Anolis sagrei: one gene and its partners. The protein of the gene in region 3 purifies or fractionates together with the protein of the main gene of each other region. This does not show direct contact. Links are inferred from orthologs where the notes say so. Each region holds a gene or a part of one and is shown on either strand. Other genes may lie near its edges.

What was found.
Region 1: the proteins of SIN3A (region 3) and NR0B2 purify together in Homo sapiens (affinity purification with western blotting; 3 studies listed by BioGRID). This does not show direct contact. The link is inferred for Anolis sagrei from reciprocal best matches to the Homo sapiens genes SIN3A and NR0B2.
Region 2: the proteins of SIN3A (region 3) and SAP130 purify together in Homo sapiens (affinity purification with mass spectrometry; 4 studies listed by BioGRID, with this or other methods). This does not show direct contact. The link is inferred for Anolis sagrei from reciprocal best matches to the Homo sapiens genes SIN3A and SAP130.
Region 4: the proteins of SIN3A (region 3) and CHD3 purify together in Homo sapiens (affinity purification with western blotting; 3 studies listed by BioGRID, with this or other methods). This does not show direct contact. The link is inferred for Anolis sagrei from reciprocal best matches to the Homo sapiens genes SIN3A and CHD3.

Annotation. Positions count from the first base shown.
Region 1 is NC_090034.1:72,712,190-72,719,621, reverse strand, and holds the start of NR0B2 (nuclear receptor subfamily 0 group B member 2), read right to left. Parts: upstream 3,009-7,432; 5' UTR 2,707-3,008; coding exon 2,184-2,706; intron 1-2,183. UniProt on the Homo sapiens protein: Transcriptional regulator that acts as a negative regulator of receptor-dependent signaling pathways. Specifically inhibits transactivation of the nuclear receptor with which it interacts.
Region 2 is NC_090023.1:220,772,022-220,779,695, reverse strand, and holds the start of SAP130 (histone deacetylase complex subunit SAP130), read right to left. Parts: upstream 3,007-7,674; 5' UTR 2,859-3,006; intron 2,350-2,858; exon of another isoform or gene 2,197-2,349; intron 1-2,196. UniProt on the Homo sapiens protein: Acts as a transcriptional repressor. May function in the assembly and/or enzymatic activity of the mSin3A corepressor complex or in mediating interactions between the complex and other regulatory complexes.
Region 3 is NC_090029.1:8,581,266-8,588,242, forward strand, and holds the start of SIN3A (paired amphipathic helix protein Sin3a), read right to left. Parts: upstream 3,027-6,977; 5' UTR 2,982-3,026; intron 1-2,981. UniProt on the Homo sapiens protein: Acts as a transcriptional repressor. Corepressor for REST. Interacts with MXI1 to repress MYC responsive genes and antagonize MYC oncogenic activities. Also interacts with MXD1-MAX heterodimers to repress transcription by tethering SIN3A to DNA.
Region 4 is NC_090026.1:6,300,787-6,308,247, forward strand, and holds the start of CHD3 (chromodomain-helicase-DNA-binding protein 3), read left to right. Parts: upstream 1-4,451; 5' UTR 4,452-4,782; coding exon 4,783-5,026; intron 5,027-7,461.

The DNA of each region.
Region 1 (7,432 bases), on a different chromosome or scaffold from region 3:
GGGGGTTCTCCCCCAAGTCTCCTCCCTACCCTTTCCTCCCCTTCCTCTTCTCTTTCAGAGGCAGAAAGTGAAGGAAAAACAGGAAATGTTTGGATCCCAAAAGGGTTGGCCTTGGTCAGGATGAGATGGTGGACAGGAGAGAAAATGTGTATCCATGGGACCCCTATTGCCTACTCCTGATATAGAATCCTAGAGCTGGAAGAGAACCCCAAGAGCCATCCAGTCCAACCCTTTGCCATGCAGGGAAGCACAATCAAAGCACTCCTGATAGACTCTGCGGAAAAGCCTCCAGAGAAGGAGACTCCACCACACTCCTAGGTAGCCTACACCACTCTCTAACAGCTCTTACTCACAGGAAGTTCTTCCTCAGCTTTTCAGTCAAATCTCTTTCCCTGCCATTTGAAACCATTGCTCCCTTGTGCCCTGGTCTCTAGAGCAGCAGAAAGTCAGTTTTCCCCTCCTCTTCAATGGGAGACCCTTTGAAATCTTGAAACATGGTTCTCATGTTCCCTCTCTACCTTCTCTTCTCCCAGTTCAATATCCTCAATAGGGAAAGGAAGAAGGAAAAAGAGAAGAAAGAAAGGGAGGAAGGGAAGGAAGAGGGAATGGAGGGAGGGGAGGGGGGAAAGAGAGAAGGAAGGACAGACAACAGGAAGGAGAAAGGGGGAGAGGAAGGAAAGGAAGGAAGGACAACAGGGTTGAAGGGATGGAGAAAGAGGGAGGTAAGGAAGAGAAGGAGGAAGGAAAGCGAGAAGGAAGGAAGGATAGGATAGTGACACAACCTAAGAAAACAGCGCAAGGGGCCACATCCGACCCCAGACCTGGGTTTGCCCATACCTGGCATAATCTCTTTCCTAACGGGAGGCTGCAATAATACTTTAGCTTACAACTCCAACCAGATATTATGGGACTTGTAATCAGAACATGATTGCTCATGCTCTGGATATCAGAAATTACAACCAACATTGCCATTGATGTACCACCTGGTATCTTTTTTCTACAGGTCACTTGTAACGGCACACCTTTATCAATATCTCATCCTGCAGGGGTGACACCTGTTACGGTTTGCTGTTACTCTAGTAAAGCTGTCCTATAATTTTTCATCAACAAAATTGCAAGATAAATAAATGTGAGCCTTATGAAGGTTGGTACCCCTGGGGGGCTCATGAGGGGTTACCAAAGACCATCAGAAAACACAGTACTTTCTGTTGGTCATGGCAGTTCTGTGTGACAATCCCATCGTTGGTGGAGTTCAGAATGCTCTTTGATTGTATGTGAACTATAAATCCCAGCAACTACAACTCCCAAATGTCGAAGTCTATTTTCCACATACTCCACCAGTGTTCCCATTTGGGCATATTGCATATTCGTGCCAAGGTTGGTCCTGATCCATCATTGTTTGAGTCCACAGTGCTCTCTGGGTGTAGGTGAACTACAACTCCAAAACTCAAGGTCAATGCCCACCAAACCCTTTCAGTATTTTCTGTTGGTCATGGGAGTTCTGTGTGCCAAGTTTAGTTCAATGCCATAGTTCATGGAGTTCAGAATGCTCTTTTGATTGCAGGTGAACTATAAATCCCAGCAACTATAACTGCCAAACAACAAAATCGACCCCCCAAACTTTCAAATTTGGGTGTATTGGGGATTTGTGCCAAATTTGTTCCAGTGAACGAAAATACATCCTGCATATGAGATATTTACATTATGATTCATAACAGTAGCAAAAATCACAGTTATGAAGCAGCAACTAAAATAATGGAGCCCTCGGTAGCACAGTGGGTTAAACCCTTCTGCTGGCAGGTTGGAGGTTTGAATCTGGGGAGAGTGCGGATAAACTCCATCTGTCAGCTCCAGCTCCCAATGCGGGGACATGAGAGAAGCCTTCCACAAGGATGGTAAAACATCAAACACCCTGGTGTGTACCCTGGGCAATGTCCTTGAGATGGTCAATTCTCTCACATCAGAAACAATTTAGTTTCTCATGGCACTCTTGACACAAAAATAATAATATGATTGGGGGTCACCACAACATGAGGAACTGTACTCAGGGATCGTGGCATTAGGAAGTCTGAGAAATGCTGCTCTACACCATACTGGCTTTCCTCTTCCCTCCTATTTTTTATGAAAAGCTGGCCCGTTTCTCACAGACCTTCTTACTGCACATGGGTTCAAGCAGGACTTACCAGGGTTGAAAAGAATGGCGCCTTTCAGATAGGCATATTCTTTAGGGCTCAGGTCCAGGCTATAGAAAGAGTTCAAGCAGCACTGTAGCCGCTGCACACTGGCCAGTGTGGGCTGTGTCCTCTGCGGCTCTTGCCTCTTGCAGGGCCCATCGAGGAGGATCCTCTCCAGCATGCTGGGGGCAGGGGTCTCCATCACCTCAAAGGTCACCATCTCCTGGACCAGCCCCAGAAGGAAGAGAGGTGCCCAGCAGCTATCTAGCAGCAGGAGCTGGTCATCCCAGGGCAGTAGCTGGAAGGACGGCAGGTTCTTCACAAAGGTGATGGTCTTCACCAAGACATCAGAGGCTGCCTGGCAGGTCACTTGAGGGGTCCGGAGGCAGACCGTGCGGCGCTTGTGGCACATGCAGCTCTGTTGGGAAAAGCCAGCGCTGCTCCTGTTGGGGCTCAAGTTCTGGCTCAGGAGGGTGTAGAGGATGGCGTTCTGGTTTTCTTCATGGTGCCACGGGCACTTTTCGCACTCCATGATCAGGTTGGAGAAGAACGTAAGGAACCGCTATCTGAAAAGCAAACGCTTTCCCTATACAGGTGGCTTGGCAACTGTCTTGGTCCTACCACACCTTTTGCTCACTCCACAGTTTCTCCCGTCTTTTCTGTAGCTGCCGTTTCCCAGCTTCACTTATAAGGCCCCTGAAGGGATGATTGGAAACCACCCCCACTAGCAGCCTTGACCTCCCTTTGACAAGCAGCCACCGGCTCATTGAAAAACAAGTCAACCCTGAACCAATTGGCTGGGGAGAAACGGAGACTTCACGTGGCCCGGAGAAAGGTTTTCTCAATGAAGGTGCCAGCCGGGGCCAGGAGACCCAGGGGACTACATTTATCTCAATTGTCCTTATCAGTATAAACAAAGTCATTAACCCAGCCTGTACCAAGGCACCAAGGCTTCAGGTGTGTAATCAGGTTTCAGGATATGGCCGGGGTCACTGCCAAGGAGTATGTACACAGACACACTCCATTTACAGCCCAAGAAAGACAGCCCAGTGGCAAAACAGCTCATAAAGATTTAGCCTTGGAACCAGCAACCTGGAAGTCAATTTATCTGTGAGTTGTTTGTTTAACTCAGACAGTTGCTCTTTGCTGATAATGAAGAAAGGGTGGGGAGACCAAAAACACCTAACAGACCAAGTATTATGAGGCTTCTACTGAAGAATACACATACTACAGTGGCTACACCTCTTCCTTTTATGCAAAACTGCATGCACCTGTTTCTGTCTCCCCTATTTCTCCTGGATTTTGATCCAACAGGTGATCACATTGCACCCCATTAATCAATGAACCGAAGATATGATAATCAGATTTGCACAGATCAGGTCTTACACATAAAATTACACAATAGGAGGAAAGTTAGTTGAGTGCCAGCCGTAAGAGCCAGTGAACAATCAAGGCCTTTCAAAGATTTGTGAAATGACAAGGCGTGACACACCGGTGCACCACGACAGGGAGCCCTGCAGTCAGTGAATGGTCATAAAGCACACAGGAATGGGGTCAATGGCCTGTTCTCAGATCAGGAGAGAGAAAAAAAGGAAAGCTTGCAACTTCCAGCAGGGGAAAAATGTTGTAAAAGACTGGCAGCATAGAGCATAGTGAAACTACCACTTGCAATGCTGTTAACAGCTTTTTACCCTTATATTACCCCAACTTTATTCTCCATCTTCATCGCTATGAGATGAAGATGGAAGGTGGGAAGCTTCCCATCTTGTTGATGGGAAGCTTCCCACCAGAGTGGAAATCATCTATCGGACAGATGGCAGGCTGTTTAACCTCAGCAGACTGAAAGCCAAAACAAAGGTTACAACATCTGTTATAGAACTCCAGTATGCTGATGACAACATCCTCTGTGCACATTCAAAAGATCTACAAACCACTCTAAACACCTTCACAGAAGCATATGAGAAGCTCGGCCTGCCATTAAACATCGAGAAAACCAAAGTGCTGTTCCAGCTGTCACCAGCCAACCCCTCTCCAATGCCAGAGATACAGCTTCATGGGGTAACACTAGAAAATGTTGACCATTTCCGCTACCTTGGCAGCCACCTCTCCACCAAAGTCAACATCGACACTGAAATACACCACCACCTGAGCTCTGCGAGTGCAGCATTTTTCCGAATGAAGCAGGGAGTGTTTGAGGACCAGGACATCCATAGGGAGACCAAGGTGCTTGTTTATAAAGCTATTGTCCTCCCAACCCTGCTATATGCCTGTGAAACATGGACTGTCTACAGACATCACATGCAACTCCTGGAACGATTCCATCAGCGCTGTCTCCGAAAAAATCCTGCAAATATCTTGGGAAGACAAGCGGACAAATGTCAGTGTGCTGGAAGAAGCAAAGACCACCAGCATTGAAGAGATGGTCCTCCGCCATCAACTCTGCTGGACTGGCCACATTGTCCGGATGCCCAACCACCGTATCCCAAAGCAGTTGCTCTACTCCGAACTCAAGAACAGAAAACGGAATGTTGGTGGGCAGGAAAAGAGATTTAAAGATGGGCTCAAAGCCAACCTCAAAAACTCTGGCATAGACACTGAGAACTGGGAAGCCCTGGCCTTTGAGTGCTCCAGCTGGAGGTCAGCTGTGACCAGCAGTGCTGCAGAATTTGAAGAGGCACGAATGGCGGGTGAAAGAGAAATGTGCCAAGAGGAAGGCGCGTCAAGCTAACCCCAACTGAGACCGCCTTCCACCTGGAAACCAATGCCCTCACTGCGAAAGAAGATGCAGATCAAGAATAGGGCTCCACAGTCACCTACGGACCCACCGCCAGGACACCGAACTTGGAGGACCATCATCCTCGGACTACGAGGGATCGCCTAAGTAAGTAAGTAAGTAACCCTTATACAGTCCTTTCCAAAGGCTCTCTTAGGACCTTATCGTATTGGGATATACTATACACACACACTCACCCACACCACACCATATTTCTGGATGCATAGTGTATTAAGATGGGATTCTTATGTTTTGAAAATACTAAGCTTTGACTCATCACATCATGGAAGATGGCTCCTCTTTTTTATATTTTTATTATTTTATCATGATTCAATACATTTGTTATACAGTGTTTGTTTTACAGCAGATAAATATTATTCAATACAACCTACCATGCTTTAACTTTTGGCATCTCGTATTATTTTTCTGCTTATAAGTATTTTCTAACCCTCACCGCTGTACTCCCCCCCCCCCCCAAAGCCACGGCTTTTACATATCATCTGTCCAAAATTTCAATTCTTCTTGTGGAGGTAACTTTCCTTCTTTATTTTTCAATCCTTTTCAATAAATTTTCTCCATCAAAATCACTTTGTTTCCATATACCCCTTTTAACTTTTAAAATACATGTCAGCTTAGCATTTATTGCCAATTTCCATACTTCCTTGTACCACTCCTCTGTTTGTATATTTATTTCTCTTTTCCAATTCCTTGCTATAAGCAATCTTGCTATTGTTAATAAATTCGTTATCGCATCTTTATCCTCTTTTTTAAATTGTTTATTATTATATAATGATAATAAAGCTATACTAGGACTTCTTTCTATTTTAATGTTCATTATATCTTCTATTTCTCTAAATACTTTCCCCCAAACATTATTTACATATTTACATTGCCACCACATATGTATATATGTTCCTGATTCTTGACATCCTCTCCAGCAATTTTTTGAATAGTTTTTATTTATATTTGCTATTCTTACTGGTGTTAGGTACCATTTCCATATTAGCTTATAATAATTTTCTTTAACCCATATTGATACATTTTTAGATGTCTTTGTCTCCATAATTGTTGCCACTGTTTCATTTATTTTTATCCCTAAATCTTCTTCCCAAACCTCCTTGCAGGTGTAATTTTTTGTTTTTCCTTTCTTTATTTCAATTATCTTATATACTTTACTAGTTACTCCTTTCAAATTTTCATGCTTCTCTACAACCCTTCCATTTTGTATTATTTGTTCAAATTGGTTAAGCTTACTTCTGTTTTTATTATTTTTTCCCCAATTTTTAAACCATTGTTCTAATTGTATACAATGGAACCATGTCAATTCTATTTCTCTAAATTCTTCCATAACCATTTCCTTCTTCATTCCAACCTTTATCCAATCCCCTCTTTTGTCTAAGTTTTTCCCCTTTAACTTTTTATCCAGGCACTTAGCACTTAGCATGTAGCTCTCATGGAGAATTTTCTCAGGGAAAGTTGGTATCACTGCTGTGTAGCAGGAAGCAAGCGGGAGTGAACGAGCAGTGCCAGTCGTCAGTAGCTCATTGACTGGCATTGTGGTGAAGGTTAGAGATGAGCATCCTCATTCCGTTTCCCTCCAAGTGCGAAGCTTGTGCTGTAATATGCTACCTAAATGCATGAATGCCACTGCAATTCATTGCGAAATCATTTCAGTTTATGGAGAGGATGTCATGTCAAGACAGCATGTGACAATTGGGTACGGTATATTTATTTATTTATTTTATTATTTAGCAATTTTGTATACCGGTCTTCTCCCCTCTATCGGGGGACTCGGTTTCCAACAATAAAATCACAAAACAATCATTAAAAACATCATATGGCATATTCAATTAAAACGTTATAATAGCAAAATGCAATCACATAATAACAATGGTCAGTCGTCATAGTGAATTTGTTGTCCATCATTCATCGTCATCTATCCGATCACAGAAATATTGATTCACTCGTCGAAAGCCAAACCCCATAGACAGGTTTTCACCCGTTTTCTGAACGACAGAATGGAGGGGGCAGTTCTGATCTCCAGTGGGAAAGAGTTCCAGAGTCATGGGGCCACCACCGAGAAGGCCCTGTCCCTCGTCCCCACCAGACACGCCTGAGAGGCCGGTGGGACCGAGAGCAGGGCCCCTCCAGACTATCTTAACAACCTAGATGGTTCATAGGGGAGAATACGTTCGGACAGGTAAACTGGGCCGGAGTCGTTTAGGGCTTTATAGGTTAACACCAGCACTTTGAATTGTGCTCGGAAGCTAATTGGCAGCCAGTGGAGCTGGCGCAACAGAGGAGTAGTATGCTCCCTGTATCCTGCTCGTGTTAGCATTCTGGCTGCCGCTCGTTGGACTAGTTGGAGCTTCCAGGCAGTCTTCATAGGCAACCCCACGTAGAGAGCGTTGCAGTAATCTAAACGGGATGTAACCAAAGCGTGGACCACCGTGGCCACGTCAGACTTCCCAAGGTACGGGCGCAG
Region 2 (7,674 bases), on a different chromosome or scaffold from region 3:
CAGACATGTATACTATGTTCCTAAATCAGAATATTTTATTAGGCTCCATCACAGCTAAATATACAACATATTTTTCAATATTACTAATTTATTTATTTAGTGTTTATATTCCGCCCTTCTCATTCCAAAGGGGACTAAGAGTGGATCGTAGAACACATATATGGCAAACATTCAATGCAGTTATACACTGACAAGACAGACAACTGTACATAGAATACAGTTTTGGCCTTCAACTCCCAGAAATCCTAACAGTTGGTAAACTGGATGGGATTTCTGGGAGCTGTAGGCCAAAACACATGGGGACCTACAGGCTGGGAACCACTAACATAGATAGAGGTATATATCTTCTGCATCTGTGCTTGGTTCTGCCACCAGGGTGGGGGTGCTGTTGCTCCACTTTTCCCTGTGGAAGAGCTTTTTTGCCCATCTCTAGCATCTCTATGCCTCGAAATTATTTCTGATCCTAAGATGAACTTATCATGAACCTTCCTTAGCAAGATTTGTTCTGTGAAAGTTTGTCTTTGCCCTCTTATGAGATTCAGAGTGTGTGACTTGCACACCCCAAGTGGGTTTCCATGTCTGAGTTACATTTGAGTATCCAGAGTCACAGTCCAATGCTCAAACCACTACACCATGTTGGCTTTCATGAGTAGCTATTACTTGATGTGTTGCCAAAGAATTTCATGGCCGGAATCACTGGGTTGCTGTGAGTTTTCCAGGCTGTATGGCCATGTTCCATACATTTAGAATATTATAATGTAATACAGTATAATACTACTACTAATAATATGATATTATAATTATATATTTTATATTACATGTAATATTACTAATAATATTACAATATAATTGTATAGTACAATATCGTGATGTATAGTGCTGATATTGTACTGTGCTAATGGTATAATGTATTGTATGTACGTATCTATCTTGTAAGCCGCTCTGAGTCCCCTTCGGGGTGAGAAGGGCAGAATATAAATGTCGCAAATAAATAAATAAATGTTCCAGAAGCATTCTGTCCTGACGTTTCATGTACATCAATGGCAGGCATCCTCAAAGGTTGTAAGGTCTGCTGGAAACTAGGGAAGTGGGGTTTATATATCTGTGGGATGTCCAGGGTGGGAGAAAGAACTCTTGTCTGTTTGAGGCAAGAGCAAATGTAGCTATTGGCCACTTTGATTAGCATTGAATGGCCTTCAAAGCTTGCCTGGTTGCTGCCTGGGGGAATGCTTTGTCTGGAGGTGTTAACTGGCTCCAATTTATTCTTGTCTGGAATTCTCCTGTTTTCTGAGTGTTGTTCTTTATTTACTGCCCTTAGAGTTTTTTTAATACTGGTAAATCAGATTTCCTTCATTTTCATGGTTTCCTCCTTTCTGTTGCAACTGTCCACATGCTTGTGGATTTCAATGGCTTTCAATGACATTCTGGAACATGGCCAGACAGCCCAGAAAACTCACAGCAACTCAGCGATTATTCGATTTATCTCCCCCCAAAAATACTTAAGGCAGTTAAGAAACGACAGGCGCTGCAACTGATCAGTCTCAATGGCCACATAGTCATCATTCCTATGCAAAGGAATTAATGAAATTTGGCAGCACTTTAACTGTTATGACTCAATGCTGTGGAATCCTGGGAGTTGTAGTTTGTGGCATTCTGGGAGTTGTAGTTTGGTGAGAAACGGACACTCTTTGGCAGAGAGCAAAGGAATTAATAAATTTTGGCACCACTTTAAGAGCTAAGGCTCAATGCTGTGGAATCCTGGGAGTTGTAGTTCGTGGCATTCTGGGAGTTGTAGTTTGTGGAATCCTGGGAGTTGTAGTTTGGTGAGAAACGGACATTCTTTGGCAGAGTTGGCTAAAGACCCTGCAAAACTACAACTCCCGTGATTATGTAGCATTGAACCGTGGCAATTAAGGTGGTATCAAACTGCAATAATTCTACAATAGAGATGCACCGAAGGGCTCTTTCCACCCCCCATTCTCCATTCCAACGCAGACGGAACTCCCAACGATCGTGGGGAGCCTCTACACTGAATAATTAATGCGGTTTGACCCCGCTTGAGCTGCCACGGCTCGGTGCAGAGAAGGCTAAAGACCCCCATCATTCCGAGGCACTAAATCAGGGCAGCTCAAGTGTTGGCGAACTGCATTAACTGGACAGTGCAGACGCCCCTCTTGCTGATCCCGCTAATCCCACCTTCGTTGCCCAGGATCAGCTGCTGTCCTCACATTTCGGCCCCGTCTAACTTTCTTCTCTGGCGGCAGCTGCGATCAGGAGGCTTTGGGTGCCAAATCCGGCCGCAAGAGCGAAGGCATCGAGCAGGGGCGTCTCCGGAGCTCTGGATCTCGGCGCAAGCCCCGCCCATTCGAGCCTATGCTAGCCCAGCCCCCACTCCCGCGGCGACCAATGGGAAGCAAGCCTCTCCTCCCGCCTAGCCAATCCAGCGCAGGGGCGAACACAGCCTACCAAGCAACAGGCCCCGCCCACGGGCTAATGTGTAAACCCCGCCCCTCCTCCAATGGCAAGTCGACTTCTCTCTACATCTGGCCAATCCAACACAGAATGGAGAAGGCCCTCCCAGCCAATGAGGAAGCCTGTAAACAGCCAATGAGGAGGCGGGCGATGGCTCGTTGTCCCGCCTCCCTTCTCCTCCCTGATCACTATGTGAAACAGACGCGCAAGGCCGGGGACCCGGATGTTGGGCGAGGATAAAAAAGCGACCGCGAACGCACTCTGAAGCAATCGAGGCCTCGAAGAGGAGGTGCGCGCCACTCCGGCTTGTCTTCTCCAGCGCTGGCTGGCGGGCGCCTCTCTACGGAGCCCTGCCTCCGAAGCGCGTCCCTCCCCCGGCCAGTTACCTGCAGCCGGAGTTGCGGCGGAATCTCCCTCACGAAAGCCCCCAGCGCCGCTTTCGGGGCTGACACCGCGCGGGGGCTCAGTCCGGGAGTGTTGCTTCCGCTGCCGCAGCGACGCACCCCTCCCCGCTTCTCGCTGATTGGCTCCCGGCTAGTTCCGCCCACTGTGGCGGGAGGCGGCGATTGGTCAGAACGCTGGTCGCGAAGGGGCTCCTGGGAGTTGGAGTTCGAGATCTGAGCCTGGATTAGGGTGATGTCGCGAGACGCTAGTTGGAGCAGAAAGAGTGCTATTGGTCCCTCGGAAGGGGGCGGGACGCTTGTGTGTTCTCTCCGCCTACCGAGGCCCTGATTGGTTGGCTTCTTTGTGAATGGCTTTGGAGGGAGAAGCAGTTTCTCTGCTTCATATAGAGATGGCGGGAAAACAGACTGGGAGCAGTAAGAGAGCATTGATTTATTTCCAGCATTTCTACCCCATCCTTCTCAACCCGCGAAGGAGGACTCAGGGCGGCTTACATTTTTTTTTAAATTTTATTATTACTATTGTATAATACATAGAAACATTCCATCTTTGAAAATAACATTCAAAATACCAGTTTTTTCCCCAATCCCGCCACCAGCACACCCCCCCCCCCCCCGGGAACAAATAGATACTTTAACTGTGTTTATTACAATTGTTCAATCATGAGAATAGTTTTGTTCAACACCGTATATTTATCTTTCCCCTTTATTCTATATATGAGACCCTTCCATTTTGCTTTCCATGTCTTTTTGCTTTGACCCGTCATATAGTAACTTTTCCTTTCGCTAATATAATCTTGAAGAAGGTAATCTGCTAAATATTTGTACCAGGTTTTTGTATCCCATTTCTTGTGGTCTTTCCAGCCCAGGGCCACTGAGGCTTTAATTCCCTCTATCATATGTTTTATTATTTCCTCACTTTCCTTATATTCCTCTTTATTTTCGAATTTCTGAGTGAAAAATTGGGCCTTATTCCATTCTATCTTGATCCCTAATAGCTCCTCCATTTCTTTCCTGATTATTTCTTGGAACTTTTGGATTTTTTCACATTCCCACCACATGTGGGCATATGTTCCTATTTTACCACAGTTGTGCCAACATAATTTTGGGCACGTTTTTGTGATATGCGCCAGTTGCACAGGAGTTCTGTACCATTTTGTCAATATTTTTCGTTGCATTTCTTTAATCTTTAGGTGTTTTATTTTATTGATTGAATTAATCCAATTGTCTATTTCTCTCTCACTGCAACTTAATTCCTCCTTCCAGACTTCTATTAGGGTAGATTTTGTGTTGTATTGTATTTCGGTGATTGTGTTATATATAAATCCCATGATTCCTTTCTCCCTCTCTACTTTCCATTTTATTATTTTGTCGAGATTTGTTTCTGAGGTTTCCTTATTCTTCAATTCTATTAGCTTTTTAGACAGCCCTCCCCATTGTAACCAATTTCCATGCCCGCATTTATCTTTTATTTCCTCCCATTGAATTACAGTCCCGTCTGGTTTTAGTAAGTCCTCAATCTTTGTTATTCCGTTTTGTTCCAGTTTCTTTAGAATGTTGCGATATAGCTGGGGTTTTCTGTTGTCTAAGGAACCTATTGGGAGCTTGTCTATTTTATTTACTGGGAGTTTATTTTGCCATTTTCCCCAACAAGTCATTGTTAATGACAAGGGGCCTCCTTTTATGTTTTTTAGTTCTTTCCCCCCAATTTTCCCCATAATGCAAGATCCATATTCCCACCCGTTTGTTAATTTCTCTAACCTAACCCATCTTTTGGGCTCACCGATATCTAATTCAAGTAACCTAACCAATTGACAGGCTTCGTAATAGTTCTGGAGGCAAGGTGCTCCCCAACCTCCATTTTCTTGTGGAGTATAAAAAATTGAATTTGCAATTCTGGTTTTACTAGAGCCTACTACCCATGTTTTAATTGAGTTATCCCATTTCTTTATTATTTTGGGAGGAATGCTACATGGAAGGCATTGAAATAAGTACAAAAATTTGGGCAGTATCATCATTTTATATGTCTTCACCCTTGTTGTTATATCCCAATTCCATTTTTTCCAATTGTTAATCTGTTTGCTTATTTTCTTCCATAGTTGGTTATAATTTATCTGAATTATGTTATTTAGATTTTTAGGTATATACACTCCTAAGTATTTTAACTTCTTTTCCCCCAGTTTGACCCCTAGAATAGATTGGACTTCTTTCACCTCCTTCCAGTTCATGTTTTTAGGTAGGATTTCTGATTTTTCAATATTAATTGTTAAGCCTGAGATCTTTTCAAATTTTTTAATTTCTTTCGTTACTTCAATTACCGAATTCTCCATTGAACCTATGAGGACTACTGCGTCGTCTGCATACAAATTTATTTTTATTTCTTCTTTATCTATCTTATATCCTTTTATGTTTTTGTTTGATCTGATTAGATTAGCAAAAGGTTCTATCGCTAGTGCAAAGAGAAGGGGGGAAAGAGGGCAACCTTGTTTGGTTCCGCTTTTGATTTCAATAGTTCTAGAATTGGATCCGTTTACTATCACTTCAGCTAGATTATCTTTATACAGTTCCTTAATTACTCCACATATCTTTTTTCCTAAGTTACTCTCCTCGCATAAGTTAGCCAAATAATTATGATTTATTGTATCGAATGCTTTGTAAACATCTAATTTTATTAGGAGTAATTTTGTTTTCTCTCTAGTTGCATGGTCAATTATATTTATGATATTTCTAATTGGGTCCGCTATCTTTCTTTTTATAGTAAAGCCGTATTGATCTTCCTCAATTAGAGTGGGTATTACCTCTTTCAGCCTATTAGCTATTATTTTTGTGAAAATTTTGTAGTCCACGTTGCATAAAGTAATAGGCCTATATGAGTTGGGGTCAGTCCCCTCTTTGTTTGGTTTTAAAATTGTTGTAATTTCGGATTTTTTCCATGTTTCTGGAATTAGTTTATTTTCCATGATTTCATTATATAGTATTAGTAAATTAGGGGTGACTTCCTTTTGAAAAATTTTATAGAAATTTGTAGTGAGCCCATCGGGGCCTGGTGAAGAGTTTATTTTTAATTTCTTTATTACCTCCTCTATTTCATTGCTAGTGATGATCCTGTCCAGTGTTGCTTGGGATAGAGGGTCTAATTTTTTTTGGAGTAGTCCTTCCGATTTCACTGTATCCTTACTTGTGTACAGCTTTTCGTAGTAATTGGCCATTATTTCCTTTAGGTCCTCCTCACTTGTTTTTATTTGGCCCATCTCGTCTTTCAAATTAAAGATTTTTGTTTTCCCTTGTTTCTTTTTTAGGAAATTTGCTAATTTCTTTGTGTTATTTATGGAGTTTGTCTGAAAGTCGTTCTTGACCCAGATATATTTCTTTGTACTTTCAATTTCCTCCAGGTTTTCTAGTTGTTTATTTAACTCTATCCATCTCTTTTTCCCCCCCACTGTTTGGTCTTTTTGAAATGATTGGAACGCTTCTTCTACTTCAGACCTCAATTTCCTTAATCTTTCATTTTCTCTTTTATTTATTCCCTTCTCGATTGTTATACACTTTCCTCTAATTACTGCCTTGAAAGCATCCCAAACTATGTTTTCTTTCATTCCAGGGGTTCTGTTTAAGTTAAAATACTGAATAATTTGTTCATTTATCTCTTTCCTGTCTGACTCTTTATAAGCAACTTTTGGGTTAAATCTCCATTTTTTCACTTTGTTTATGGTATAATTTCCTAATTTTAAGTAGAGAGGTGCATGGTCTCCTGGCCAATAATTGCCCACCAAAAGTTCTTTTATTGGCATTGTGTTGTTGATACCCACCAGGAAATAGTCTATGGTAGAAAATGTTGAGTGCCTATGTGAGTAGTGTGTTGGGGTATCTGCTCGTTCCCCTATTCTATTGTTGGCCTCTATTAAGTTCCACTTACTGAAATTTATCTTACAATTTGTACCTGAATTTCCAGTTCTATTACTCTTCGTTTTTTTGTACAATTGTAAATTTAGGTCCCCACCGACTATTATATCTCCTATTGCATGCTTTTCTATTTTTGAGCAAGTTTTGTTTATAAATTTTACTTGTTTCTGATTTGGGGCATAGACACTTGCTATTGATACCTGAGTATTGTTAATTTTACCTATTATCATTATGAATCTACCTTCAGTATCTTTAATGACCTTTTCCAACACAAAGGTTTTCCAACACAAAGGCTTACATTTGATACAGTTTGATGCCATTAAATATCTAATCAGATCTAATGTGCCAAATAGTCTCTGTTGTATGTTTTTATGTTGAATGTTTTTATATTGTGTATTAAATTATATTTTAAATTGTAAGTCGCTCGGAGCACCTTGGTGGAGAGCGACTAATTAAGAAATAAAGTGAAGTGAAGTCAATATAACAAGAATTAAAACAATAAATAGGATTTTAATTAAAACAATAAAAACAGTATTAACTGCCGTATCACCATTCCAATCATATTCCACATCCAAAGCGCTATTTTTATCCCTGCTGTCCAAAAGCTTGGTCCCAGAACCACGACTTCAATTTCTTCCTAAAAGACGGGAGGGATGATGCTGAGCTTACCTCGTTGGGAAGCGAGTTCCACAGGTGGGGGGCTACAGCCAAGAAGTCCCTGTCTCTTTTCCCCGCCAGATGTATTTGCAACGCTGGCGGGAGCAAGAGCAGGGTCTCCCCTATGATCTTAAACTTCAAGGCGGGACGTAGTGGGAGATGCATTCAGACAAGTAAGTGTTGCAGCATATAGGAGAGAGAATATCAAGAGAGATCCTTTCTGGAGGAAGAAAAGTACGGC
Region 3 (6,977 bases):
TACACATACACTTAAATGTAGAATATATTATATACACAACGCACAACATATTAATTTGATAATCGGCTTGATTATATATACATATATACACACGCACACATACACTTAAATGTAGAATACATTATATATACAACACAACGTATTAAGTTGACAATCGGCTTGAATACACACACGCGCACACATATACACACACATACATACACATATACACATACACTTACATGTAGAATACATTATATATACAACTCAACCTATTAAGTTGACAATCAGCTTGAATATATATATGTATATACACACACACACACACACACATAAACACACACATATATACACACATACATACACATATACACATACACTTAAATGTAGAATACATGATATATACAACACAACCTATTAAGTTGACAATCAGCTTGACTATATATATGTATATATATATATACATACATACACATAAACACACACATATATACACACACACATACATACACATATACACATACACTTAAATGTAGAATACATTATATACAGAATTCATAACCTATTTAGTTGACCAGTGACTTGAAGACACATATACTTCCAAACCACAAGTGCGGACTACATATACATACATACATACATACATACATACATCCAAATGAAGTCAGTTTGAAGTCGTATACTTCCAAAACTGTGTGTCTACATGTATATTACACACACAGAGCCTATTAAGCCAAACTAAATATATGATGTTATATGACAGTAACAGTATAGATCAAGGAAGTGAGGACTAGCCAATCCTTCTACACTGTGAGATTAATGCAGTTTGACCCCACTTTAACCGCTATGGCTCAAGGCTATGGAATCCTGGCAGATGTATGTATATCTATATATGAGGGATGTATGTATGTATGCATGTGTGGGTATACATATGTGTGTGTGTGTCTATATATATATATAGGAGATGTGTATGTGTATAGGTGTCTTGGAGATAGATGTGTGTATATGGGAAGTCTATATATATGTATATATGTGTGTATATATATATGGGAGATGTGTATGTATGTATGGGAAATGTGTGTGTATATATGTGTGTATGCATATATGTTTATATATAGAGAGAGGAGATGTGTATGTATATGTATATATAGTAGATGCATGTGTGTGTGTGTATGTATATGTATGTATGTATGTATGTGTGTGTGTGTGTGTGTATATATATATATATATATATATATATATATGGGAGAGGTATGTGTATATATATAAGAGATAGCCGCCCCGAGTCCCCTCTGGGGAGATGGTGGCAGAGTATAAATTTTATTATTTTATATTTATATATGTGTGTTTGTGTATGAATACATGAGAGAGGTACGTATATATATGTGTGTATATGAATATGGGAGATGTATGTTTGTATATTTGTGCATGTGCAGCTATATACATATATATAGATATGAGAGATATATGCATTTATTTATGTGCGTTGTGTGTGTGTAGATGTAATAAATAAATAAACATATATAGGAAGATGCCAGTATGCAGTGTATACATGCAGTGTATGTGTGTGTGTGTGTGTGTATGTATACATGGGAGAGGTATGTATATATATGTGTGTGTATGAATATGGGAGATGTATGTTTGTATATTTGTGCATGTGCAGCTATATACATATATATAGATATGAGAGACATATGCATTTATTTATGTGCGTTGTGTGTGTGTATATGTAATAAATAAATAAACATATATAGGAAGATGCCAGTATGCAGTGTATACATGCAGTGTATATGTGTGTGTGTGTATGTATACATGGGAGAGGTATGTATATATATGTGTATATTAATATGGGAGATGTATGTTTGTATATTTGTGCATGTGCAGCTATATACATATATATAGATATGATATATGCATTTATTTATGTGCGTTGTGTGTGTGTATATGTAATAAATAAATAAACATATATAGGAATATGCAGTGTATACATACGTGTTTGCTATATATATATGTATGTATGTATGTATATGTATGAAACAACTGACCCACAGGTTTCCGATGCAACTCCAAAGCCGAATTATTTCTCAACCCAACCTTTGGACAGGGAAGGCGAAACTCCGAGCACCTCATAGTCTTGAGCCTGGGCAGTCTGAGTGGGGTCGAAACTGTGTTAAAATTGCAGTGTAGACGCATCTAGTAAATTCATGAACATGTAACACTACGCCAGAGGCGATGATGCATGGTTCATATAAGTAATAGCTGACAGGGAAGACCTTTTATGCCGTGCATGAATGTATTATCTTAGAGATCCTGAGGCAGGGAGTTCCGCAGGTCAACAGGAACTGTTTTTTCCCCATAGCATCATATAGATCTTAGAGATCCTGAGGCAGGGAGCTCCATAGGTCAACAGGAACTGTTTTTTCCCCATAGCATCATATAGATCTTAGAGATCCTGAGGCAGGGAGCTCCATAGGTCAACAGGAACTGGTTTTTCCCATAGCATCATATAGATCTTAGAGATCCCGAGGCAGGGAGTTCCACAGGTCAACAGGGACTGTTTTTCCCATAGCATCATATAGATCAGGCATGAGCCCACCCTCCAGGTGTTTTGGACTCCAACTCCCACCATTCCTAACAGCCTACCGGCTGTTAGGAATGGTGGGAGTTGCAGTCCAAAACACCTGGAGGGAGGGCCCAAGTTGGCCCATGCCTGATCTATATGATGCTATGGGAAAAACAGTTCCTGTTGACCTGTGGAACTCCCTGCCTCGGGATCTCTATAGATCAGGCCCATGCCTGATCTATATGATGCTATGGCCCAATGCAATGGGATCCCCAGACTGGAGAGCCACAAACAACAGGGATCGAGTGGATCCTTCCCCATCTCCCTCCCCCAAACAGTCCCCCCAAAAATCTCCCCCCTGGAGATCAAGGAAAACAAGCCAGCCGCCCAATCAGGAAGCAACGTGAGCATCCTCAATGGGGAAGCAGCTGTTGCCTACCTTGCCAAGCCCAGCCAGGATTCCTGAATGGGGAAGGAACGCCCCTCGAAGGGGATTGGCTGGGGGGAGGGGAGTGCGTCACAGCCGTGGGCGGGGCGGGGCGGGGGGAAGCCACGCCCCCTTCGTCTAGTGGGTTTTTGGGAAGCTAGAGAGAACTAGATAGCAAGATGGATAGATAGAAAGATAGATGGATGGATAGATAGATAAAGAAATCAAGATAGATAGAAAGGTAGATAAATAGATAGGATAGATAGAAAGATAGATGGACTGATAGATGGATGGATGGATAGATAGATAGGTTGGATAGATGGACAGACAGATGGACAGATAGAAAGATAGCTAGATGGATGGATGGATGGATAGGTAGGTAGAAATCAAGATAGAAAGATGGACAGATAGATAGATGGATAGCAAGATAGAAAGAAAGCTAGATAGGTAGGTAGGTAGATAGAAGGATCCCGCCTGCCTCACAGGCACGTCTGGCGGGGACGAGAGAGAGGGCCTTCTCGGTGTTGGCCCCCCAGCTGTGGAACTCCCTCCCTGCTGACATCAGACAGGCGCCCTCCCTCATGGCCTTTCATAAGGGCCTGAAGACGTGGCTCTTCGAGCAGGCTTTCAACTGAGTGCTATGTTACTGGAAATGACAACCGGAATGAATTTACGACTACGAGATTGATTATGATTCCATAATATGACGCAGCGGATTTTTAGTGTAATTTAAATGTTGTGTATTAGTGATGTTAGTTTGTTGTCCTGATTGCTTTGTAAAGTGTCTTCTTTGTATTGTACACCGCCACGAGTCGCCCTAGGGCTGAGAGCGGCGGTTAATAAATGCAAGAAATAAATAAATAATAAATAAAATAAATAGATAGATAGGATAGATAGATAGAAAGATAGAAAGCTACATAGAAAGCTAGATGGATGGAAAGATAGATAGAAAGGAAGAAAGATAGATAGATAGGAAGATAGATAGAAATCAAGATAGATATAGATAGATGGAGCCCCCGGTGGCGCAGTGGGTTAAAGCACTGAGCTGCTGAGCTTGTTGATCGAAAGGTTGTAGGTTCGATTCCGGGGAGCGGCGTGAGCTTCCGCTGTCAGCTCTAGCTTCTGCCAACCTAGCAGTTCGAAAACATGCAAATGTGAGTAGATCAATAGGTACCGCTCTGGCGGGAAGGTAACTTTGCTCCATGCAGTCATGCCGGCCACATGACCTTGGAGGTGTCTACGGACAATGCTGGCTCTTTGGCTTAGAAATGGAGATGAGCACCACACCCCAGAGTCAGACATGACTGGACTTAATGTCAGGGGACTACCTTTACCTTTACCTTATAGATAGATAGATAGATAGATAGATAGGTAGATAGATAGATAGACAGTAAGAAAGAAAGACAGACAGACAGAAAGATAAAGAAATCTAGATAGGTAGATAGATAGGATAGATAAATAAATAGATGGACTGATAGATAGAAAAATGGATGGATTGATAGATAGGTTAGGTAGATGGACAGAGAGATAGATGGATAGATAGAAAGATAGAAAGCTAGATGGATGGATGGATGGATAGGTAGATAGATAGATAGATAGATAGTCAGGTAGAAAGATGGATAGATAGAGAGAGAGAGAGAAAGATGGATGGACAGATAGTAAGATGGATAGATAGATGAATAGTAAGATAGAAAGCTAGATAGATAGGTACACAAATAGATGGATGGATGGATAGATGAATGGATAGATAGAAAGGAAGAAAGGTAGAAATCAAGATAGATAGATAGATAGATAGATGGATAGATAGATAGAAGGCTAGATAAATAGAAAGAAATCAAGATAGAAAGATAGATAGAAAGGTAGATAAATAGATAAGATGGATACAAAGATAGATGGATAAATAGAAAGAAAGAAAGCTAGACAGATAGAAAATAACTAGATAGATAAATAGAAAGAAATCAAGGATAGATAGCTAGATAGAAAGATAATAGAAAGATGGATAGATATATAGATGAATAGATAGAAAGATAAATAGAAAGATAGAAAGAGCGCTAGATAGGTAGATAGATGGATAGATAGAAAGATAAATAGAAAGATGGATAGATAGGATTGATAGAAAGATGGATAGAAAGCTAGATAGATAGATAAATAGAAAGATAGACAGAAAGGCTAGATAGATGGATTAATAGAAAGAAATCAAGGATAGATAGCTAGATAGAAAGATAAATAGATAGAAAGGTAGATAGAACTGCTAGGTTGGCAGAATCTGGGGCTAACAGCAGGAGCTCACCCCACTCCCCAGATTCAAACCTGCAACCTTTCGGACAGCAAGTTCAGCAGCTCAGCACCACAGGAGGCTCCATATACTGACAGTGTATTTTATATATTGTGGTATAATAATATAATAAAATATAATAATATATGACAACTGTATATCTTACATGTAATATTGCTAATAATATTTCAGTATAGTGGTATAGTACAATATAGCAATATATAATACTAATATTGTGCTATGCTAAAATATTGTATGTATAATATTGATATTATAATGTAATACAATATATATAATAATATATATAATGGCTTAAACCTCTGTGGCAACAGGACTGAAGACCGACAGGTCGCAGGTTCGAATCCGGGAAGAGTGCGGATGAGCTCCCTCTGTCAGCTCCAGCTCCACATGTGGGGACATGAGAGAAGCCTCCCACAAGGATGGTAAAAAATCAAAACATCCGGGCAACGTCCTTGCAGATGGCCAATTCTCATACCAGAAGTGACTTGCATTTTCTCAAGTCAGTCCTGACACGTGTGTGTGTATATGTGTATATATATATATGTGTGTGTGTGTATTGGTATAATATAATTATATATATAATATTATATTATATATATATAATATATATATTATATATATTAGTATATAGTAATATATACTAATATTGTAGTATGCTAATATATTGTATATACATATATTGGGATTATAATGTAATACAATATACTAATACAATATATATAATATAGTAAAACAAATATAGTAAATATAATTACTATTGATAATATATGCAATATTGTTTTATTATTGTATATTTGAGGTTCTAATGTTTTTGATTGTGAGCCGCTTTGAGTATCTGTATGGAGAGCTAAATTGGGATATAGATAAATAAATGTACACCTAGTGGGAATTTGTAAATTAATTATTATTATTATTTTATTTAATAATAATCCCTTTTCTAAACTGTTTGGAACTCTTTGGCGCTCCCAGTGGACACAGTGAAAACTGCACCCTTGATCAAAGCAGATAAAATGTGCCTCTATGCCGCCCTCTTGAGGCCACATTGGAAATCGCACTGCTTTATTTATTATAATTATATATATTATTATTTTATAATATTTATATTTATAATATAAAAGGCACTGCCACAATAAAGAGAAGGGGAAAAAAGAAGTGAAAGAAGAGAGGAGGAAATAAAAAAAGAAACAAGGAACAAGAAGCTTTGATTGGATAGAAAAGGTACATTCGACACATCCGGAAATGGTGAGTTGTCTGTATACTTTATTTCCGTAAATACAAAACAAAAAAACAAAACCCCGAAACAAAAACGGATGTCGCCATACAACAGCGAACTGAGAACATTTACAGTTATCTCCAATTCGGATTTGATCAAGTTAATGTTAAATATTTTGTTTATTAAAAAAAAACAAGGAAAAAAGAGAATAGATTGTAGTAAATAAAAATGAAGAATATGCACATTCAATAGAGCTTATTTTCCAGTAAAAAGTTACTGAGGTTGGTTCGGATGCTGCTCTCTTCTCCAGGGAATAGAAAAGGAATGAGGAAAAGCCAACAGAAGGAAGGAAAGTGGGGCAAAAATAATGTTGTGTTGGGATACCTAGAACCCATTGTACTGGGACACCTGGAATCCATGGCAAACACATGGCATTGGGATATCGAGAACCTCCCTGCAAAGAATAAGAGGCTTCTTTACAGCCTCTCCCATTCCATCA
Region 4 (7,461 bases), on a different chromosome or scaffold from region 3:
CAGAGGAGTGATAGAATATAAAAAAAATCAGATTCCCAATGGTTGCCCCTTAATCAATCACAGCTTTGTTGTAAATCCATCAGATAATTTTGCCAAGAGGTAGAATGGTTTATCCAGGCAAGTTTTCTGAATGCTGGAAGTTGGCAATGATATTCATAAACTGCCTTGGGTCAAGGGAAGCATTTGCACTTGTTCTCAATGAAAATGTGCAATTCCCACCTTTCTGCAGGCTGTTGTACACTTTTTGTGTGCAATTCGCATCCTTCAGCCATATTGTACTCAGCAGGGAAAAGCCTTGAAATATTCTCCCCCTTAAGCCAAACAGCAACAGTTCCCTTGAGAGAAGAGTAGACTCATGGTGTAATGTGCAACACATCTTTGACCATCTCGAAAGACAAGATGCTGTTAGTTGAACTGTGGGAATAAAAACACACACACACCATTATAATAATGCGATAGATTCCTTGATGGGATTCTTGATGCTGACTGCATTGTGAAGAAGCATCAAAGGCAGGCAAGAGACTGAAGGAAAAAGATGTTTTCCTTTTTGCAGACTGCTCCCTTGAGCAATGAGGACCAAGCCAGAAAAAGCAAAGGTCAAGATTCAAAAAGGGGTTTCCCTTAGTGGGAAAAGTTGGTTTTTTTCTCCAGTTCTCGCGGCTTTGTTTTGAACCAATGAGTAATATAATGCTTCCAAACTGATTGCATTCCAGGCTTGAAATCAGAGGATGCTGCAACCAGTTTCATCTTTCTCCTTTCCACCAGGAAGAGAAAAATGCCTGGAAATTGCATTTTAAAAGGTTTTGATAGCACAAAGCCTCCCAAGCTCTTCCTTCGAGCACTGACTTCCAGCACTGCCAGGGAAATGTTTCAACGTGAGTGAATGGGTCTGGCGCCCAAGCTCCTGGAGGGCTTCAGAGGGTGTTGCGTTAAATATAAAAGCCACATGGGGGATAACGTTCATTTGGCAAGCTCTTTCTCCTGCAGGCACAGTGACTCCTCTGTGGACACTTAGAACTAGTCTATGGGGAGGATCGGCTCAGGCTGAACATGTTCACTAAAGAACAACCATGCATTGGCTTTGATTTCTTCCCATCCTGGCCAACCTTTTAAAAAGAGCGCACCATTGCTGCAATCCCACTGTCTTCACTGGGAATTATTAGGATGTGATAAGATATAATAGAAGGACATTTATTCAGAAAAGATTATTTTGAAATTTATCGCTTTTTTATCCAAGTAATGGAGAGACCGTCATATGTCAATAGGCGATTTGAAAGCACATACGTGTCCTCAATATGTGACATCATTTTTTAATTCCTTCAAAGTTAAAATGGAAGCATATTTGCCAATTTATGTCCTCAAAGATAGGGTTCAACTTTGGTTCATTACTGTGTACCTTGAAGTCAATTTGCAGTTTTGGTGACCCCAGGGCAGCCTTATTGTATAACTGTCTCAACAAGATGATGGTTTGACTCAATTGGTCTACCTTTACTTGAAACTACCAATAGGACTGAAGCCTGTGTATTGAAGATATTCTAAATTCCAAAACATACAGGACTTTAAAAAAAAAGAACTGAGAATAGAGAAACATGCATATACTGAAAATCTTATGCATACTATCTCTGACACAAAACATTAATCCTTAACATAGCTATTGTCCTAAATGGGACTACTCCAGAATAATGGTACTCACTGTTTATAGATAATATGTTGGTGAGATCATCTTTCAACAACATGATATTTAGGACCACAAATATTTTTTCCTTTCATATAAGGAAAGGAACGTAGGCCAGGTTAAAAAAAAAGGAAGAAAAGGAAGCACAGCAAAGGAAAATACTGAAATGTTAGCACTATTGATCAGTGTTACAATCTTCAGTAGTAATTTTTGAAATTCGCAATTTAAGCATGCTTTTTAATGTTAATGAAATAATAATTGTATTTATTTATTTAATTTGTCTGCCACCTTTCTCCCAGTGGGAACTAATCCAACTCCTAAAGAGACTAAATAAAAAAATCCTATGTCATCAAAAAATAGTCCCAAATTTGCTGGAAAGAACATGTTTCCTTTTTTAAACCCATGTTAGATACTACGAAAGAAGCTATAGTAGAGAAGCTGGGCCTTTTAAAGCTGGATCTGCACTGCCATATAATGCATTTTTGGAAGGTGGATTAACTGCATTGTACTGGATTATATGAGTCTACACTGCCATTATATCCTTGGCCATTCTGGTTGTGATTAATGGGTGGCTAGAGTCCAAGAAATACATGGAGAGCCACAGGTTATGTAATACTGACACCCTCTGTTACTTGCTGTATTGGTAGGATGGCAAGCCATGCTTTACTCAGATTTGGCAGACACTAAAGTGAAAAAAGAATGTGAATAATCCAGATTTAAACAGCAAAACAAGGGCTCCTTAATGTTTCCTTACGCTTCTGGAACACATTCCTGTCACCAGGGGTCAAGACCTCTTCTCTGTGGCCACAAATGAAAACTTATGCTTCAAACTCACATGATGAATGTGATTTTCCTTATTCTTGGCAGGGGGTTGGACTGGATGGCCCACGAGGTGTCTTCGAACTCTATGATTCTATAACTCACTAAAAATAAGGCTCATTGATATGAAATCACAGCGGCTGTCTAAAATATTATAATAGCCTCATTTTTAATATTTGTTTCCCTTTAGTGTTGTTTTTACAGTTATGAAATGAGGTGAAGCCAGTTATGGGTCATTATTATTATTATTAAACTATATTTGTACCCCGCTAGCATCTCCCAAAGGACTCGATGCGGCTTACAAAGGTCGAGGCCTCAACATAACAACAACATAAAACAATACAACTCAAAGCATATCAAAAACATAAAGCAATATCAACAAAACATTACATCATAAACAGTAAAACCAAGGCCGAGCCAAGTAGTGGGTACAGATTAAAAAAGTGCTGGGTGTGATAGGCGGCATATTGGATTTCAGGGCATGTGCAATGTGCAGAGGATCTTAAAACTCTAATAAAGTGCTTCTAGGACATAGTGCTGAAGTTTCCTATTCCGGGAAGGCACATCGGAACAGCCAGGTCTTCAAGCTCTTTCTAAAGCCTGCCAACGTGGGTGCTAATCTGATGTCTTTGGGGAGGGTGTTCCAAAGTCGGGGGGCAACCACAGAAAAGGCCCTATCCCTCGTCCCCACCAACCGCGCTTGCGACGCCGGTGGGATCGCGAGCATGTTCAAGAAGTGTGTGTATGTATATATGGGTGTGTGTGTATGCATGGTATTTTTGGTTTCAGTTGAATTTAACCCTGGGCTGGATTTTGTGGTCAAAATTATTCCTAAAATCTCTTTGGTGAGAAAAAAAACCCAGCTGGGAACAAAGAGATTTGGAAAGACTTCACTTGAATTTGATCTTAATTTTTTTTATGCTATAAACAAAACCTTTCTATTTTTATTTTTTAAAAGAACAATATATATATACCTTAAAGGGGGGTATGAATTATTATCAGAATTGACTCCTCAAAAATCATTTCTGTATACACTCTCCTTTATGTGAATAGGATCTTATGTAAAAAATCTCCTTATGTGAATAGGATCTTATAATAAATTGCAGTAATCAGTGTTTTTTTTCTCCCTCCCCTCTCTTTCTGTTCTTCCTTTCTTGCCCTGGAGGAGAAAAAAAGGAGAGAAATAAACCACTCCCTTCTGAAGTATTTAAAGTTAGAGAGAGAGAGAAAAAGAGAAAGGAGGGGGGAGATGGAAATAAAACACCCCCTATTCTTTCTCCTTTGAATGCTGGTAAAGCAAGACACACACATAACAAAAGTCACAGTCTGACTGACTAGTATGGAACTAGTTAACCTTTAACAATTTTATGCTGATGTCATAACTGAGCATGAGTACTGATTAATCCAACCTTTTCTCTTTCTCTCTCTCTCTTCCCCCTCCCTATAAAAAATATTTTTATTGAGGGAGGGGGGGGGGAGGGAGAGCATAAGGAGGGAAAAGGGGGGGGGGGAGAAAAAGAAATAATTTAGAGCAGCCATCTTTGTTTTATGCAGAAATCTTGTCAGTTTCCCCCCAGTGCCAGGAATGTCTAAATATTGTTCATGATCACACAGATCTTAAGAGGAGATTGGGGGGGAAAGAAAGAAAGAAAGGAAGGGAAAAAAAGAGAAAGAGAAAGAGAAGGAAATATAGCCAAGAGCAAGAAGAAGAAGAAAAGAAGCTTTTGTTTTTAATTTTTAAAATTTGGAGCTGATTTTTTTTTTATTTTGGAAAGGGGGGGAAATCTTTCTTATTCTTTTTTTTTAACCCTGAGGGGGTTAAAAAGGCAGCCATTTTTTTAAAGATATATATAAAGAAGGGGGGAGTTATATATATACATATATACCTCCTGAGGAAGAAAAAAAGGGAGGGATTGAACAGAAAGGGGGGGAAAGAGGGGGGGCATTTTTGTTTTAAAAATAATTTAAAGGCGGCCATTTTTGTTGCTTCTTCTTCTGGTGGGAAAAAATAATTATTATCCCTCAGAATTTAAATATTATATTAATTTTTTTTAGAGAAAGAAAGGACCATATCCAATTAGGAGATATGCTGGATTGTTTTTTTAAAAGACTTAATGATTATAAATTGGATTTTTAATTCTTTTTGAAGCAACCTGAGAAGAAAAGAGGAGGAAGAAGGGGGGGTCGTGCCCCCTCCCCCTATTTTTTCTCAATCAATCCATTTTTTTTGCTATTTTCCTTCCTTTCTTTCTTGTTTTTCTATTTTTTTTCTCTCCCTCAGCGCCACCATGGCTTCTCCTCTGAGGGAAGAGGACGAGGAGGAGGAGGAGATGGTGGTGTCTGAGGCGGAGGGCGACGAGGACGGCGACGAGGAGGAGGAAGAGGAGGAGGAGGAAGAAGGAGAAGAAGCAGGAGAAGAAGAAGCCAGGAGGGAGGACAACAACAACAGCAGCAGCAGTTGCCCGGGCGGCGCCGCCGACATCTTCCCTCCCGCAGCACCAGCCTTGCCGCCACAACCGCCGCCTCCGCCAGGTAAACATCAACAAAGCTTCTCCCTCTGGCTCTCTCTCTTAAGTAGGGGGTTTTGGCGCCAAAACTGCCCCAGTCCTAATCTCCCCAGCAACAAGGGGACAAACAAAATCTGCCCCGGTTACTGAGAGAAAGGGGGCGCTGTGATTGGTGGGGGCTGTTTGTCAACAGCCAACGGCTTTCGAACGCTGAGCGGCCGAAGGTTCCAAACCGACCGTTGAGGGACCCGCCGTTCCGTCCCCCCGACACTCCCCCCTCCGCGCGCTTCTCTTCCCCCTTCCCCTCACCCCCCTCCCCCCCACTTGGCCTCCCCCACTCCCACCTTTTGACCTCCTCCGGGGATGGCCTCACCCGCCACCGGGTGGCTTTCGACGCTGTGGTGGCTTGGTCTTGAAATATTTGGGGTTTTCCTCTCCCTCCCAAGGGGGTGGTGGTCCCGTCCGAGGCAACAGCCGCTTCTTCACTTCTTTAAGCGACTCCTCATTTCCACTCAGAGGTTCCCAAGAGTTGCCAGGCTCTCCTTCTGAGCCTCCAAGAGTTCTCAGTTTCTGCCTGCTAAAAGTCTCAGGCCCCTTCCACAGAGCTGAATGAAATCCCATATTTTCTGCTTTGAACTGGACTATATGGCAGTGTGGACTCAGATAACCCAATTGAAAGCAGATATTGTGGATTATCTGCCTTGATATTGTGGATTATCTGCCTTGATATTCTGGGTAATATGACTCTGTGGAAGGGCCCTCAGGGTCCAGGCAACGTTGGGCAAACTTCAGCCCTCTAGGTGTTTTGGACTTCAACTCCCACAATTCTAGAACTTGCTAAGGGCCCTTCCACACAACCCTATATCCCAGAATATCAAGGCAGAAAATCCCACAATGTCTACTTTGAACTGGGTTATCCACACTGAGATAATGTGGGATTTTCTGCCTTGATATTCTGGGATATAGGGCTGTGTGAAAGGCCCAGAGGGCCCTTCCACACAACCCTTTATTCCATAGTATCAAGGTAGAAAATCCCACATTATAAGTGTGGACTCAGATAACCCATTTCAAAGCAGACATTATGGGATTTTCCGCCTTGATATTCTGGGATATAGGGCTGTATGGAAGGGCCCTTAGTAAGTTCTAGAATTGTGGGAGTTGAAGGCCAAAACACCTGGAGGACTGAAGTTTGCCCATGCCTAGTTTGACCTGTCAAGCAGGCCTTGAGATGGAGAGGGAAGCCTCCTCTTTTGGACAGGAATCTGTCTTATGTCAGACCCCTTCTATGCAGCTGTATCAAAGCCACACTGAACTGGATTATACGGCAGATAACCCAGTTCAAAGCAGATATTGTGGATTATCTGCCTTGATATTTTGGGTTATACGACTGTGGAAGGGCCCTCAGGATCCAGGCAACAGTGGGCCCATCCACACACTAGGAATGGGCAAACTTCAGCCCTCTTGGTGTTTTGGACTTCAACTCCCACAATTTCAGAACTTGCTAAGGGCCCTTCCACACAGCCCTATGCCCCAGAATATCAAGGCAGGAAATCCCACAATGTCCGCTTTGAACTGGGTTACCTGAGTCCACACTCAGATAATAAGAAACTTTATTATTATTATTATTATTATTATTATTATTATTATTATTATTATACACTTTATTTGTATTATTTATAATGTGGGTTTTCGATATTTTCTACCTTGATAAAATCCCACATTTTTTTCTTTGAACTGGATTATATGGCAGTGTGGACTCACAACCGAGTTCAAAGCAGATATGGTGGGATTTTCTTCCTTGATATTCTGGTTTATATGTGTGGATGGGCCCTCGGGGTCCAGGTAACAGTGTGGACTCAGGGCCATGCCATACAGCCATATCACTCAGGCCCTGCCACACAGCCCTATATTCCAGAATATCAAGGCAGAAAATCCCACATTATCTGCTTTGAACTGGGTTATCTGAGTCCACACTCAGATAATGTGGGATTTTCCACTTTAATATTCTGGGATATAGGGCTGTGTGGAAGGCCCAGAGGGCCCTTCCACACAGCTGTATAAAATCCCACATTTTCTTCTTTGAAGTGATTATATGGCAGTGTGGACTCATAACCCAGTTCAAAGCAGATATGGCAGGATTTTCCGCCTCGATATTCTGGATTATATGACTCTGTGGGAGGGCCCTCAGGGTCCAGGTAACAGTGTGGACTCAGGGCCTTGTCATACAGCCATATAAATGGCACATTTTCTTCTTTGAAGTGTATTATATGGCAGTGTGGACTTATAACCCAGTTCAAAGCAGATATGGTGGGATTTTCTGCCCTGATACTCTGGATTATATGACTCTGTGGGAGGGTCCAGGCAACAATGTGAACTCAGAGCCCTTTCACACAGTCCTATATCCCAGAATATTAAGGCAGAAAATCCCACAATGTCTGCTTTATACCAGGTTATCTGAGT